Linked DNA regions of Saccharomyces cerevisiae S288C. The gene in region 2 interacts genetically with the main gene of each other region. Each region holds a gene or a part of one and is shown on either strand. Other genes may lie near its edges.

Region 1 (6,880 bases), on a different chromosome or scaffold from region 2:
CCATTGACCAAGACATTGTCCAAATCCCTCTGAAAGACATAACAATGTTTTGAAACGGCATCTTGGGCGACAGAATAGAAACTCAATTCCTGGGTGGTGGGATAATAATCAGGATGAGTCGGTGGCAAAGATTTTTTCGTCAATATTCTATGTATAATCTCGGTAGTACTTACGCCATATGTTCTTTTAACTACCTTGAAGCGCCCCATCTCTTTCACCAACTTATAGCAGTCTTCTCCATTAGCATCTATGGTGATATCATCACCATGAACAACATATTGGCACTGATATTTATCCATCCAATTGGGATCTGTAACATATGGCGCCGCTTCAACCACTTCCGAACACCACCTATTTGATCTAGTATGCTCATATCTTTCTGAAGAGTTCATTACTGGTGTTCCTTTGTTATGCTGAATATCTTCATCGGTATGCACACCACAGAATAGTTTACCATTTTCTTTTGAAACTGTTCGACGAGCCTGCAAAATGGCTCCCGCATGCCCATGATGTGTGAAATCAAAGCAGCCGTCTATCCAAACTTTATCCGGATCTAAGTTTACCGTCATCCAGTCAGTATATTTCAAGTCCCGATCCTGTAAAGCATTTGTCTCTGGAAAATTGAACAAAGGCTATCAACATCTGCATTCTTGCTTCTTATTTTGGCCGCATGATATCGTGCCACGCGATAACGAAAACAATAGTTCAACAATTAGGCTAAGCTATCGTGGTTGCTGGTATACCATTCTTCAAAAGTTATTAATCTTTTAATACTGGTAATCCATAATCGCGTTCTTTCATCAATCATTATGTTAGCAGCATTCCGGCCTCCTTGAATTTTCGAATGTGCACTACGAGCATGAATGCCTACGCTAGTAACACCAATAGGCCAGGCCACATTGCCGATACTGAGTTTCATATAGGACTGAACGGCTAAATTTATTTCTTTAGGTTGTTGTAAATGATAGAGAACGGTCGCAAGGGAAATAAGTAAATCCGGGGCAAGCTGGTTCCTTCGTAGTTGCAGTAGGAGTGGAAAGAGTGCTTTTTTAGTGTCTAAGAACAGCTCCGGATGATAAGCTTCCAAAGACGCCTTCCAACGAGATAATATTTCGTGAATATATAAATTACATTTCATTGACAAAAGAGGTTTTCCTTCAGTAGAACCAATTTGTGATGGATCAATGATTACAGAGATGGTTTTGTCTTGAGCTATCGCTTCTTGTATCCTTTCTGGCCGATTTTCTAATTTGCTAATGGTGGTCCTAATATCGTCACTCTGATTGTCTGACAGGTTTTCTTCATCTGTACTTTCTTGTTCTACCTGTCGCGGTGTTTCGTCTATGTTTGCGGATTCATGTGGCTGGAATTTCTCAGTGCATGGTGGCTGAACACCTTTAGAGTTGGCCAGCTCTTTCTTCTTCTTAGAAATTTCACCTTTTAAGATACTGGCTAGATCTAGGTCCATTTTATGCTCTTATTACTTGTAGAGGAAAAAACATTGAAGTTCTTTCCATTGGGGCCCTTTCCAAAGGTCGATTCTCTTCTTAACTTTTTCATCTTCCCTTGCGCGAAATGAATAAATTATCAGGCTTGAAATTAGAAGAATAAGACATATGCTGTTGGCTTCAACGCATAACGCAATATTAAGAGTAAAATAGAAGACCAACTTAACACCATGAGCAGTGGTTCAGCAGGGGCACCAGCACTTTCTAATAATTCCACGAACTCTGTCGCGAAGGAGAAATCAGGTAACATTTCCGGTGATGAGTATCTTTCGCAAGAGGAGGAAGTTTTTGACGGTAATGATATTGAGAATAATGAAACCAAAGTTTATGAAGAATCCTTAGATTTGGACTTGGAACGTAGTAATAGACAAGTCTGGTTAGTTAGATTGCCCATGTTTCTAGCAGAGAAATGGAGGGACAGAAACAACTTGCATGGCCAAGAACTGGGTAAAATTAGGATAAACAAGGATGGGAGTAAAATCACACTTCTATTGAATGAAAATGATAACGATTCTATACCGCACGAATATGATTTAGAACTTACAAAGAAAGTAGTAGAAAATGAATATGTTTTCACAGAACAAAATTTAAAGAAATATCAACAACGTAAAAAGGAGTTGGAAGCAGATCCTGAAAAGCAAAGGCAAGCTTACCTGAAGAAGCAAGAACGTGAAGAGGAACTTAAGAAGAAGCAGCAGCAGCAAAAACGTAGAAATAATAGAAAAAAGTTTAATCACAGAGTTATGACAGATAGGGATGGTAGAGATAGATATATACCATATGTGAAGACGATTCCCAAAAAAACCGCCATTGTGGGTACAGTTTGCCACGAATGTCAGGTTATGCCATCAATGAATGATCCTAATTATCACAAGATTGTTGAACAGAGAAGAAATATTGTCAAGCTTAATAATAAGGAAAGGATCACAACTTTGGATGAAACCGTTGGTGTTACGATGAGCCACACAGGTATGTCCATGAGGTCAGACAACTCGAATTTCTTGAAAGTGGGGCGTGAGAAGGCCAAGAGCAATATTAAATCTATTCGTATGCCAAAGAAGGAAATCTTGGATTACTTGTTCAAGTTATTTGATGAGTATGACTACTGGTCCTTGAAGGGGTTGAAGGAACGTACTAGGCAACCTGAAGCACATTTAAAGGAGTGTTTGGATAAAGTTGCCACTCTAGTGAAGAAGGGCCCATATGCATTCAAATACACTTTAAGGCCAGAGTATAAAAAGTTGAAAGAGGAGGAGAGAAAGGCAACCTTAGGTGAACTAGCTGATGAGCAAACAGGTTCCGCTGGAGACAATGCGCAAGGAGACGCGGAGGCTGACTTGGAAGATGAAATAGAAATGGAAGATGTCGTTTAGTTGACAATCAGATTTTCTTCATTAATTTTATATTTACGCAGTTTCTTGAGCCCTATATATACTCTTTTTAAAATTTACAGTTTTGTTTAATTTATTATGTCTCTATTAGTTTTGGCTATCTGTACATATGTATTTAGATGCATTGAAGTTCCGTAAAAGAATGCTTGCTGGAATAAGAGACTGATGGAGAACTTGCCATAACCGCGCAGATACTTTAAAGCACAAGATTGAATTTGTGCTCCATGCAGCCAATGAAAGAAACTCTGAGATTGCTGTGTGCCCTTGCACCGACCAGTGTGAACGTTGTTGTCCATATGGGGCATGCACTCATTATAGAGAAGGAGACATTGAAACATCAGATATTTGTATTAATTTGCTACTGTCCGAGGAAGGTATGATATGCACTTCATTTGCTGTACTAAATGACACTTTTCTTTTTCTAACTCTATTATTTTCTTCACTCTTCAGAGCATGAGAATTCGGTGTAGCTTTTTCTACAGTGGGCTCATCGTCATACGTTGTTGTTACTGTTGCAGTCCTGATCCACCTCCTTCTTCTTGTGTACTTTTTATATGTGTCCGTTGCAGAGGGATTATTCCAGGTGTTATCATAATATATGAAACCTTCATCTGCACCTGGCTTAACTTTTGTCTTAGCAGCAGAAGCAGGAAGTTGAATGATCCCATCATTTGTTAGGTCAAGCATCCAATCTTTATCGTGCCATTCCCAAGCCATTCCCGACTGCTCCTCTGGTAAAGTAAACACTTCTGGGCTTGGAGAAGTATTTAGGAATTCATCTGTCCAAGATGCGCGCTCATAACTCAACATAGTTGATGTCCATCCGATGCCAAGCCAGCGGCGCTGGTTTTCAAACAGAGCAACCTTGAAAAGTACAGTCTTTTTAGTGTTAGATGTGTTCCCTACCTCATTCCAAACAAAGGACCTTATTTTCTTATTGACAGAAGCAAACAAGCGCCTATTATTATCTGGTCCACCAAGGTCTAATCCTGTTATGAAAAATACAAGTAATCTAACAACGCGAAATTTCCACAAGTATCTTCTCATTCTTCGGATTAGTTTAGAATGGTACGTAAGCACATACAGACCCCCTATTAACATTAAATAGTTTGGAGATAGCACAAACACTGTTAGAAAAATATAAACTGGGGATAGGAAGGCAATGGTAAATAACAGTCTTCTAACATCCTGAGCGCTCAAAATCGTAATAGGAGATAACACAGCGCTAGATTTCATAGAAACCCTATCCATAACGTGTATTATATCATCCAATGAAGGGCAAGATGCCATTGTTTCTTGAACGTGCTTGTCAATTAAAAGATATACCCATATTATACCAACGATCATTAAATGTCCAAAATACCTTGTAATAAATCCAAAATATAGAACACAAACCGTAAATAAGAATATTCCAAGCAAGTTTGCAGAGACATTGTCATTGGACCAAGTGATGATACTTAGAAAGTTATCCACAACAATTAAATATGGGTATAACCTCACTAATGACCTGGAGACTGTTTTAGGTGTTGAAGTCAATAAAGGAGATGATAAAATAGCCTCTTGATCTTCCTCATAAGTTTGGGCGCTTAATTTACCTCTTCGTTTTCTTAAAGCGCTACGAATGTGTTTATTCTTGCTTTCTGTAGACTCAGCTACTGTACTTGAGGTTGGCTCTAGATTTTCATTATTTATTTCGCTCATACTATCAAATAAAGGGAAACCAAGGCTTGACAACCAGGGAAGAATACCAAATTTAAAAGTGCCGCTTTATTGATAATAATTTTGGTGAGCTTCTCTTATACCGTAAATTTCAACATATATTTTTCTACCAGGAAAAGTGAAATACGGCCGCTAAGCATCTGAAAAAAAAAAAAGAGCAAGGCGCTGCTATTGATAATAGTTCCTTTGAAGCAGTGCTACGCAGGTCTGAAAGGCTCGTAACTTTAACTTACTTAATGATTAAGAAAGAAATTATTTGACTCAACAAATTCCTAGAAGTTTTTTATAAAAATATAATGAGGCATAATAAACTTCAAGAGATATCGATTACCCACTCCACATTACATTCAAGTTTGACTGGGATATATAGTCTACCATAACTATGTTATTATATATTTTGAAAGTTTCACTAAGGAATGCAGGATGAACATTCAATTAGTATCGACGCATATCCTCTTAATATTGTTCGCTCTGGCAGCCGGATAGGAACTGCCATCTATATATACTGTTGGCATTCTGCAAACCTTATACCTGTGATTTTCATTATAAGCAATTAGGAAAGGTAATGGTAATAAGAGGGGTCATCTGCGTTTCTCTGGATGTATTCTTTCTCTATTAAAAGCTGAATGCTTCGTTTCAAAATGCTCGGTGTAAGACTGAGCCGAGACTGTGTCCGTTTCGTAGTTCTTTCAAGTAATTGCTGATGGCTTAGCTTACCTTCTGTTTTCATGATACGAACAATAATAGCACTAAGCTCCATAACAATTTCATTATCATAAGTGTCCACGGAACTTGCGGTTGCCAAATTATCTGATTTCTGAGATGGTAGAGGGCATGCAATAACCGGCACTTTCACTTTCCTGTTTGGAGAAGAAAAGAAATAATTAACTGAAAATTTCATATTTCCTGAACTGGATGATTTTTTCAAAATCTTACATCTGGGTATTGTCGACATTGACATTACAAGAGACTTAACGTCATCTATGGGAATATGAGTTAGTTCATATATTTCCCCCAACGTTAATTCTTCATAATCTTCAAATAGAAGGAAAATCACTCCAGCGTAAACAGAAAAACTTATTTCGTAGTAACCGCTATTAAATTGGCAGCCAATTTCAATTACACTTAGATGATGAGCCCACTTTAGCACTCTTTCTTTGTATTTTAAGCTGTAATAGCCCTCAAAGCCAGCTAAAATTTGTGACATTCTAGGAGGTAGTGAAATACCTTCATCAATTGGATTAGTACTCTGAAAGGGCCAGCTCGTTCTCGTCAAAACTTGTGGTGCAAAACTCAAATATTCTATGCTGTTGATTGTTGAGTGTTGGAATGCTTGATACATTTCAGAGGATAAAGATATATCTCGCAGCATTATCTCCAATTTTGAGGTAAAAAAAGTTCCTAGAACCTTCTTTATCATTTGCACCATCCATTTTTCAATTTCCACTAAAGACCTCTGCTGCAGTAATCTTCTGGAGAGTTGTTTTTTGTAAATCTTTTCAAATATATCCTTCTCAGTTAGGAGTCCGATTAATTTGGTACTATCAAGCAAATCTTGCTTGATCTTCACTATTTCAGCATCTTTTTCCTTGGTTCGTTTCATACAATGGTCCACGTAGGTAGAAAGATACTCAGATGGTAATGCTCCTTCTTTAGAGAAATACATTGAGAAAACATCGCCAAGTATTGCATTAGATACATCCCCGGTCAAATTATTAAGACGAACAGAACCAAAATCAATACTTTCCAAAAACGAGTGTTGACTGCGATATAGCTCTACAATTTCCGAAGACCAAGTAATCGCATTCTGCCCTTTTTTGCGGTTACCTTCATTAAAAGGAATATTTATGGCATTTTTATTGATGTAAGATTTAATAGATTCAATGACAGTAACGCGATATTTTTCCTCGCTTGACAAGTCATAAATTTCTTGGAGTAGCTTTCCATTTGAAATTACCATTGCTTCGTGCGTTAGATCTTCAATAATATCACTCAACTTTCCCCATATAAGGACATTTTCTAATACAGTCTTCAACTTATTATGAGAATCCACATTTAGAAAAGAGGAGTCTAGCATACTTTCAAACTGCCTTAACTTCCTAATCTTTTCCAGGCTCTCAATTGGCGTTAATAATTCAATATCAATAGCTTTATTGTAGTATTCTTCTGTCGCGCTAATCAAAACCGGCTCAAAATCGGTTAAGAAAAAACTATCTCTATTGTCATGTAATGTCTCCATCATTCCTATTAGTACTTTCCACA
Region 2 (8,487 bases):
TATATATATGTATATTTTCAGTGTATATACATACATTCTTATACAATACCGTATAAGAACGTATGTATGTATGTATGATTTTCTCACATTAATGAACAATATCATCGGAAACGGGCCTTTGGTTTTTAAGGGAAAATGAAGAACAATAAATGCCTTGCTAGGTCTTCCTTTATCATTTTTGGAAGTCAAATATGAAAAACACTTCCAAGGGGGCGTACTACTTCAACTAATAAAATGTCACACACTAATAAGATCGCATACGTGTTGAACAATGACACGGAGGAAACAGCCTCGCCCTCTTCCGTTGGTTGTTTTGACAAGAAACAGCTCACTAAATTACTGATACATACTCTAAAGGAGCTGGGCTACGACTCCGCCGCTAACCAGTTACTGCTAGAGAGCGGCGGATATCAAAATGAGTCTAACCACATCCAGACTTTCTTCAAACTCATCAAGACCGGCCAATTCCATCTTATTAATTGGCAGATTGTTTGCTCGCTGCCCCTTGCCCATAGCTCTCCGCTAAGGTCCGAATGGCTTCAAAGGCTGCTCATTCCCACGCCGACGCCCGCCACGACTTCACTTTTCGACCACATGCTCCTGCAACTGCAATACCTGCAACAGCTGATGAGCTCTGTAAATTCATCTACTTGTTCGGACGCAGAGATCGCCACGCTCAGAAATTACGTAGAGATCATGATTCTAGTTAATAGACAAATATTCCTCGAATTCTTCCATCCAGTCACAAATTCCGCCTCTCACAAGGGCCCTCACACTGCACTGCCCGTCCTGTATTTGCGCAAAATCCTCAAAAACTTCATCGAGATATGGGATTCCCTGCTGGTGTCTAACGATCAGTTCCTAAATGAAGAAAACATCTTCAATCCGGAAACGACCTTGAGAGAACTGTCGACGTACCTGACCAACCCAAAACTAACCGCGCAGTTGAACCTCGAGCGAGACCATCTGATTGACGCCATCTCCAAATATATCGATCCGAACGAACTCGTTCCCAAGGGTCGTCTCTTGCATCTCTTGAAACAGGCCATCAAGTATCAACAATCACAAGACATTTTTAATATCATCGATCCGGATGATGACGCCTCTTTCTCCTCTCCACCCCACCGGATCAACCTTTTGCAGGATAACTTCTCACACGATCTGACTGTGACCTTTCAAGAATGGAAGACTATCCAAGACACCACAGACGAAATTTGGTTTTTGACATTTTCGCCCAATGGCAAGTATTTGGCTTCTGCGACTTCCGAGTCTTCAAGAGGCTACTTCATTACTGTTTATGATGTGGAACAAGACTTCAAAATTTATAAGACTTGCGTGAGCTTGTCACAATCCGTATTGTACCTCATGTTTTCTCCTGATAGCCGGTATCTGGTTGCTTGCCCTTTCAGCGAAGATGTTACCATTTACGACATGAATGCCACCTCCCTGCCCGATGCGTCTGCCACAGACTCGTTCCTACTATACCCTTCTACCAGGCTCTCGCCCATGGACTCGTTTAAACTGGACACCACCACGTACCCAGATGATACCGAATCATCAGCATCATCTTCCTCGAGGCCGGCAAACGCGAATTCTAATCAATCAAGAGTATGGTGCTGCGATGCCTTCCACACTGCGGAACGTGCGGGCTGGATGGTGGTTGGATCGCCCGACAGAGAAGCTATTGTACACTCACTCACCACGAAAGAGTCACTTTTTAGCTTAAAAGGCAGGACTTGTATCGCGTTGGGCCACGATGAAAACATCTCTGGGAGAAAATCAATCGATCCTGCAAAAGTCCTTTACAAACCAACAAGTAGCAATGGTAACTGGCAATATGTGGAGGACGACGAAACCTTTCCACGTGTGCACGACGTGAAAATCAGCTATGACGATAAATACGTGCTTTTAATGACCCACCAGGGCGTTATAGATGTCTACGATTTCAGTGGGTTCCCCTCCAAAGAGGAGCTATCTAAGCAAACAGTGGATCCCAAAAACTTTCTGATTCCAAGGATCGCAAGATTGGACGTGGGCAAAAACATGACTTGTATCTCATTACCGCTAAATACCACGCATCAAGGCTTCCATAGGCAACAAATATCCGAGTCTCAACATTTGGTATTAGTTAGCCTTCAAGATAACGAATTACAAATGTGGGACTATAAAGAAAATATTCTCATACAAAAGTACTTTGGACAGAAGCAACAGCACTTTATTATCAGATCTTGCTTCGCCTACGGTAATAAGCTTGTCATGAGCGGATCAGAAGATGGTAAAATTTACATTTGGGATAGAATTAGAGGTAACCTAGTATCTGTTTTATCCGGTCATTCCACGGTAATGAGTAATTCCACAAAACCCATGGGGAAAAATTGTAACGTAGTTGCATCAAACCCTGCAGATAAAGAAATGTTTGCTTCTGGCGGTGATGACGGTAAGATAAAAATCTGGAAAATTTCAAGAAATTAATACTCCACCTTATATATATACGTAAGCAAAGTTTTATGTAACAAAAAAAAAAAAAGAACTAATCCAACCTTCTTTCACTTTCAGGTAAAACTTGACTGAGTTCTTCAGCCTCTCTTCTACCTCTCTTGACATCCAAACAGTTTAGCACAGGCAATGATAGCATCAAAAGCAAAAAGAAGAAATAAAACGAATAGCGAATATTATGCGTTTTATCGGTAAGCAGTCCAACAAGGAAGGGTCCCAGGATGGACGACCCCTTATCTGTGATACTGAACATACTAAAAAACGTGGATTCTTTTCCTGGAGGTACAATCAAACTGAAAACTGATCTTGAAACCGCGGACAGGCCACCTAGTGATAATCCATACCAAATGGCCAATAAGAACATTTCAAACTTATGCTTTAAACCGAACGCATTGAAGAAAAATCCAAGAATACCATAAAATGGTATGAAACTTGCCCAAATGATAATGTACATCAAAGTTTGACTAGAAGTCCACCGAAACTTTGTGGCAAGAAATTGTGGAATCATAAAGGCACCCAGCATTGCATTTACAACGGTCAAAACACTTATCATGATTAAATTGAGGGTACTCATGTGCAGTTCTGCCTTGGAGAACAAAACCGCTGTAGAATTTATAGTTGTAATGGAATCACTAATAATAAACCACGCAATAAGAAAAATCATCACATCTTTCAATAGTCTGGCATGTTTAAACGATTCGAAAAGCGAAACCCAACCATATGAAAGGTAATTCTTCCAGTTTAGTTGACCCAAGGCGTCTTGCTCACCGGGATACGGACTGCGGGCGGATGCTAATGTAGAATCGTCAACTCTTATCGGTATTGTCACATCGTCAATCAACCAGATCATGGGCAGTTGCCACACAAACCACCAAATCCCAACGAAAAGAACAGCCACTTGAACATCCTGCTTACTGCCCTTTTTAGATGCGACTAAGAACATAGATACAATCTGAACAATGAGGGCACTTGAATAACCTAAAGATGCACCTCTACCGCTAATAACAGTAGTTAACGAGTCTACCTTATCAGGTTCATAAGCTCCTTGACTTTGACATTTCAAAGAATCCTTGACAAAAATGGGCAGAAGAGAATTCCCAACAACATTGATAACGCCAAAACAACCATTGGCCACTATATAAAGCCCAGCCAGAGAATAAATCTGGGTATCATTCAATTTTGAAATCGCAACAGTCGACAATGCGCCCACAATACCAAACCAAACCAGAATTCTGCCTTTGAATTTAACGCTCCCCCAGAGATCTACTATCCCTGAAACGGAAATGACTATTATAGTTTGGAATAAAACGCTAAGGGAAAAGACATATAATGCAAAACTTGAAGTATCTACGAAGATCCGATTGTTGAACAAACCAAGAACACACTTATCTGAATCACTACCCGTTTCTGACAGGCAGGGTATGGAGTGATCGTGAACTTTTACACCATTTATACTCGCAAATTGCTGCAGTAGTAAGGGAATATACGTTGAAACCGCAGAAACGACAAATGGTTCGCTAGAAAATGAGTAAGCGTACCATCCCTTGATATTGTTTTGGGCTTTTTTTATTCGATAGTTCGTTACCGATTCATTCATATCATTTATAGTTCCATAGCTCATATCTAATGTAGAGAATATGTTATGAGCAAACTATTGCTTATAAGGGCAAAAACCGTGGTAATATAGGTACAGTTTGAAATCTTTCCTTTTGTTTACACTACGCATCTTTCAATAGCTGAGGTATTTTCGTTTAGGAAAATACCGTTTTAAGGAATTAATTTTAGCAATTTCCTAAAATTGTTGAGCGGCGCTATCAATGCCGCACAATACAACAATTAATAATCTAAGACACGTTGCATTATACATGACAGAAGCTAAAGCATGGTCTTAGATGACAATAAAAAGGAATTTGACAGCACAAAAGAGAAAAAAAAAACTATACATAAAATTTTTTACATATGAATTGCTTAGAGTAAAATAGGCATTTTTCATATCTTCTTCCCAATTATTAAATTAGCAAAAAATTGAATAAAAAAAGCAGGTGGTTTAAGAATTGCGCAGGGAGAAGAAAGAATATCATATCTCATGATGGTAGCCACTTAGACAGAGAGAAAACGAAGTGAGAAGAGGCTAGTATTTTTATATCTTAAAAAAAAAAAAAAACAAAAAAAAAAAAACATAAATATTTGTATCTTATTGCTTATGATGATAATGTACAATGAATTCAAAACATGAAAATTGTTCAAAGTTTTTATTTTTATTTTCTCTTTCGTATTAAACTGATGGAACAAATGAAAAAAATGGATAAAAAAACAAAAAAAAAAAAAAAAACAAAAAAAAAACAGCTTTGCTGGAGGATGATTAACTTTTAATTTTTTTAATTATTAGGTTTTTCAATTTTTTATGGTTTTTTGTGTAAAATGCAATGAACGAATCCATTTTTTATTTTGCAAGTGTGAGAGGCCTTTATAAGGAAGACTCGGATTCACCGGCAGCAACCGGCGCAGAGTCTTCTTTGGTTTCTTGTTCTTGAGAAGCGAGTTCAGTGGATGATTCCTCTTCTTGTTGAGGAACAGGTGGTAGGGATATCATGAATTGGTCCAATGCATCGCCGACCAGTTCTTTTTCAATATTAATTTCAGTTTCAAAAGTTTCTGGTAACCAGTTTGACCAGCTCTTGGAACGAACGAAGTACTTATCCAATGGAGATGGTTCTTTGGCTTCACCGGTAACGTTATCACCTTCCTTGGCGGCCAAAGTACCTTCTGCAACATTGACGGTAGCGGCTTCGTTAGCGACAATTTCTCTCAATGCGGCTAAAATCAGGTTAGTGTCACCTCCGAAGGACATGTTAACAACTCTGTAAAACTTAGAGATTAAAGACAATGGAGCAAAACCATCCTTGGAGAGTTTGGACCTTAAGTAATTGTCGACGGTCAAGTTTTCTTCGCTGAAATAGTATTCAATTTGTCTAGCAATGTTGTTGATGGCCATTAACACTGGTTGGACTGGATAAAACTGTTGCTGTAATTTGACCATAGGTTGTTGAGGATGTTGTTGGTTGTGATGGAAGTGGTTGTGGTATTTAGAGCGGTTGTTGTTGTTATTACGAGCGTTGCGTCCTTGGTAAGGTTTAAACTGTGGTGGGAAGCCTTGGTTCTGAGGCATACCGGCGTTATTACTGTTGTGGAACTTTCTCCTTTGAGGACCATTGCTGTTATGGTGATGACTGTGGTGATGATTACGGTGGTGAGGTGGTTGTTGCTGTTGTGTAGATTGACCATTTTCTTGAGAGGTAGCGTCTTTTGAATCTTCCTCACCTACTGCCGATTCAAAGCCATCTTTCTTCATTTGTTGTTGCTTCTTAGCATTATGTTGGTGATGCTTCTTTTTCCTGTTAGCATTACTCGACGATGTCGACGATGCTGCAGTTTTGTTGTTTTTGCTCTTGTTGCTGTTGCCATTACTTGCACCATTCTTGGAACCGGATCTTTTGGTGCCAGAGACGGTAATGGAGGCCTTGATGGGAACCCACTTGGTAGCAGTCGATGATTTCGGAGTGGGTGTTCTGTTCTTCTTCTTTCTTGTGGCATCCAAGTCTTCTATTGAGATAGTAGAAACAGGGATCTCAGTAGGAGCAAGTTTCCATGGGGAAGATGTGGGCAATGGTGCCGGCGTCAAGTTGACTTGCTTGCTCTTGGAGCTCTCTTGTTCTTGCACTTCTGGGACTGGGGCAGTAGCAGTGTTTGCGGCGGCGGTTTCAGCAGACATCGTGGGCAGAGAAGTGAAAAGAAGATGAAACACGTTAGCAGGTCCAGAGTAATCCTGATGTTCTATTACCGATCTAGGATCCCAAAAGATCTTCATAAAACCGAAAAAGATGTTAAGAAATGTTTACACTTGTACTTTTCTTTCTTTGTTCTTGACCTACCAGAAGTGAAAAAAATTTTTCATTGCGTGGGTACATCCGTGCACCATTTCTGAAAAATTTGCGATGAGCATCCCTCAAAATCCGTATTATCCGCTAGTGTTTTGAGGTTCAACAAGACAACATATAAGAAGGGAAGAAGGAAAGGAGGCAATGAGAACTTGGGTCTTGCTCGAGAGTCCAGATCCACATGCAGGTTCAAAAAATGGTGAGAGATAACAGTAATAACGGTAGCGATAAAAGCGTCCATTGGGAGAGGAGGAATAATAACGGCGCAGGCCCCCGTTATCGTTCCAGAAGCGGTAATACCGGTGCTTTGGCAACAAAACTAAGTAATGGGACGCTCTCTGTCAGAGGATTAGTGAAGGACCGAACAGGAAGCGGCAAGATCGCGGGCTGTGTGGAGGCGTTTCTGGATGCCAGGACCCAATTGAATACGCCCTGGGACCGTGCTAAGTGCAATTGGCTGGACCAGATAGATTACTATGTACAGTTGAGAAAGACCGCGTTTTCTAAGGAATTGGACCAACTAAGGAAGCCCATGATCGATGCATATGTGGCGGAGATGAGGCAGAAGTTTGATGCCTCCTATGGACAATCCAGGGCGCAATTGGAAGCCAAACTGGCGCAGGTGGACAGTGAATGGCATATGGTACATGGTGATGTGCATGCAAAACTGGAAAAACTCGTGGAAGAACGCCGGTTTTTGAAAAGATTAAGCGACACGATCGTACCACCCAGGTCCAAAAGATCACAGCGGCTGTCTCCATTGACCAAAGAGGACCGAGCCAACTGTATCTGTCCGCAGCCCAAAGGAATGAGCGACACCGCTTGGTTCGAAGCCATTCAGAAGAAAATGTTAGGAATGAATGGTACCATCAAGCTCCTAGAGACAGAACAGAAACTACTGGCTGACGAGAAAAACAGCGTGAGGAAGACGTTCTGGCCCATGGTGGAAGCACATTCACGCTCGAATGAATTTGCTTATCTGGAGAAATGCATCAGGCTGATGGCCTCTCAGAGAGCAATATGCTTTTGTCTTGATATAGAGGCTTTCGAAACAAACCAGAACGTAATCACCGAAATTGGGATTTCAATTTATGACCCCAGGGAAAATATGGTGCCGTCAATGGTTCCAATTACAAAGAATTACCACCTAATTATCGAGGAGTCCCTGGAACTTAGAAACCAAAAATGGGTCTGTGACTACAAGGATTGCTACTTATTGGGAGAAAGCTATGTTTTGAGCTTGAAAGAGTGCGTGCATTTCATTCAATCACTAATAAACTATTACTTGGTCCCGGTGACCGAAGAAGACAAGACATGGTCAAGGGCATTTGTTGGTCATCACGTGAGCGGGGATCTTAAGTGGCTGGAGACTATTGGTGTCAAATTCCCTGGCAGAGGGTATGAAGGCCATCTGGACCATACGCTGCTTTTGGCTGAAACTCCCGGTGATCTAGACGTGTTCATCTTGGACACTGAGCAGTTTTACAGGAAATCGTATGGCGAAAAGGGCAGCAGTCTGGGCAAGATTCTGCGGTTGTTCGAGATACCGCATGCGTTTCTACACAATGCCGGTAACGATGCCTACTATACCCTGCATTTGTTCATGAAGTTTTGCGATGTTAATTTCAGGAAAATAAGCGGCATGGACGATGTTCTTAAAGTAATGGGCCAAGTAAAAGTTTGGGGAGAACGAGACGTACGAGAGCCTAAAGTGGTGCCCATGTCGTATGCCATCTCCATCGAGGAGGCAGTCAAAAATCGGACGTACCGCAAGGGCGTCAAGAGCAGTAGGAAGGAAAGAGTCTGCCAAACGGAATTCGGTGGGTTAACGTATTTCGGAACTGCTAAAGACGCCTTCACAAGCACTCTTCCGACACACTAAATATATTCATCGATTTTTTTCCTGTAAATACAAACACATGCTTGTATACATATACATATACATATATATAAGCTCATTATAAACCTGTGTGCATGGAAAAAACTTTGTCTGCCCTTAATTTGCAAGAATAGGTTCTAACAATTCCTCCAATTCACCAGTCTCCCTCAATTC

Evidence for each region. A genetic interaction does not mean that the proteins touch.
Region 1: mutations in ATG22 (region 2) and PEX31 together harm fitness more than expected from each alone (negative genetic interaction), as found in Saccharomyces cerevisiae (2 studies listed by BioGRID).

The regions. Positions count from the first base shown.
Region 1 is NC_001139.9:500,658-507,537, reverse strand, and holds PEX31 (peroxisome biogenesis protein), read right to left. Parts: upstream 4,601-6,880; coding exon 3,212-4,600; downstream 1-3,211. Other genes in the region: ECT1 (ethanolamine-phosphate cytidylyltransferase), read right to left, coding at 1-569; mRNA splicing protein PRP18, read right to left, coding at 713-1,468; transcription factor IIF subunit TFG2, read left to right, coding at 1,679-2,881; cullin CUL3, read right to left, coding at 5,172-6,880.
Region 2 is NC_001135.5:52,411-60,897, forward strand, and holds ATG22 (Atg22p), read right to left. Parts: upstream 4,118-8,487; coding exon 2,531-4,117; downstream 1-2,530. Other genes in the region: glucose-induced degradation complex subunit GID7, read left to right, coding at 235-2,472; SRO9 (Sro9p), read right to left, coding at 4,964-6,268; GFD2 (Gfd2p), read left to right, coding at 6,616-8,316; dithiol glutaredoxin GRX1, read right to left, coding at 8,431-8,487. UniProt on the Saccharomyces cerevisiae protein: Vacuolar effluxer which mediate the efflux of leucine and other amino acids resulting from autophagic degradation. The release of autophagic amino acids allows the maintenance of protein synthesis and viability during nitrogen starvation.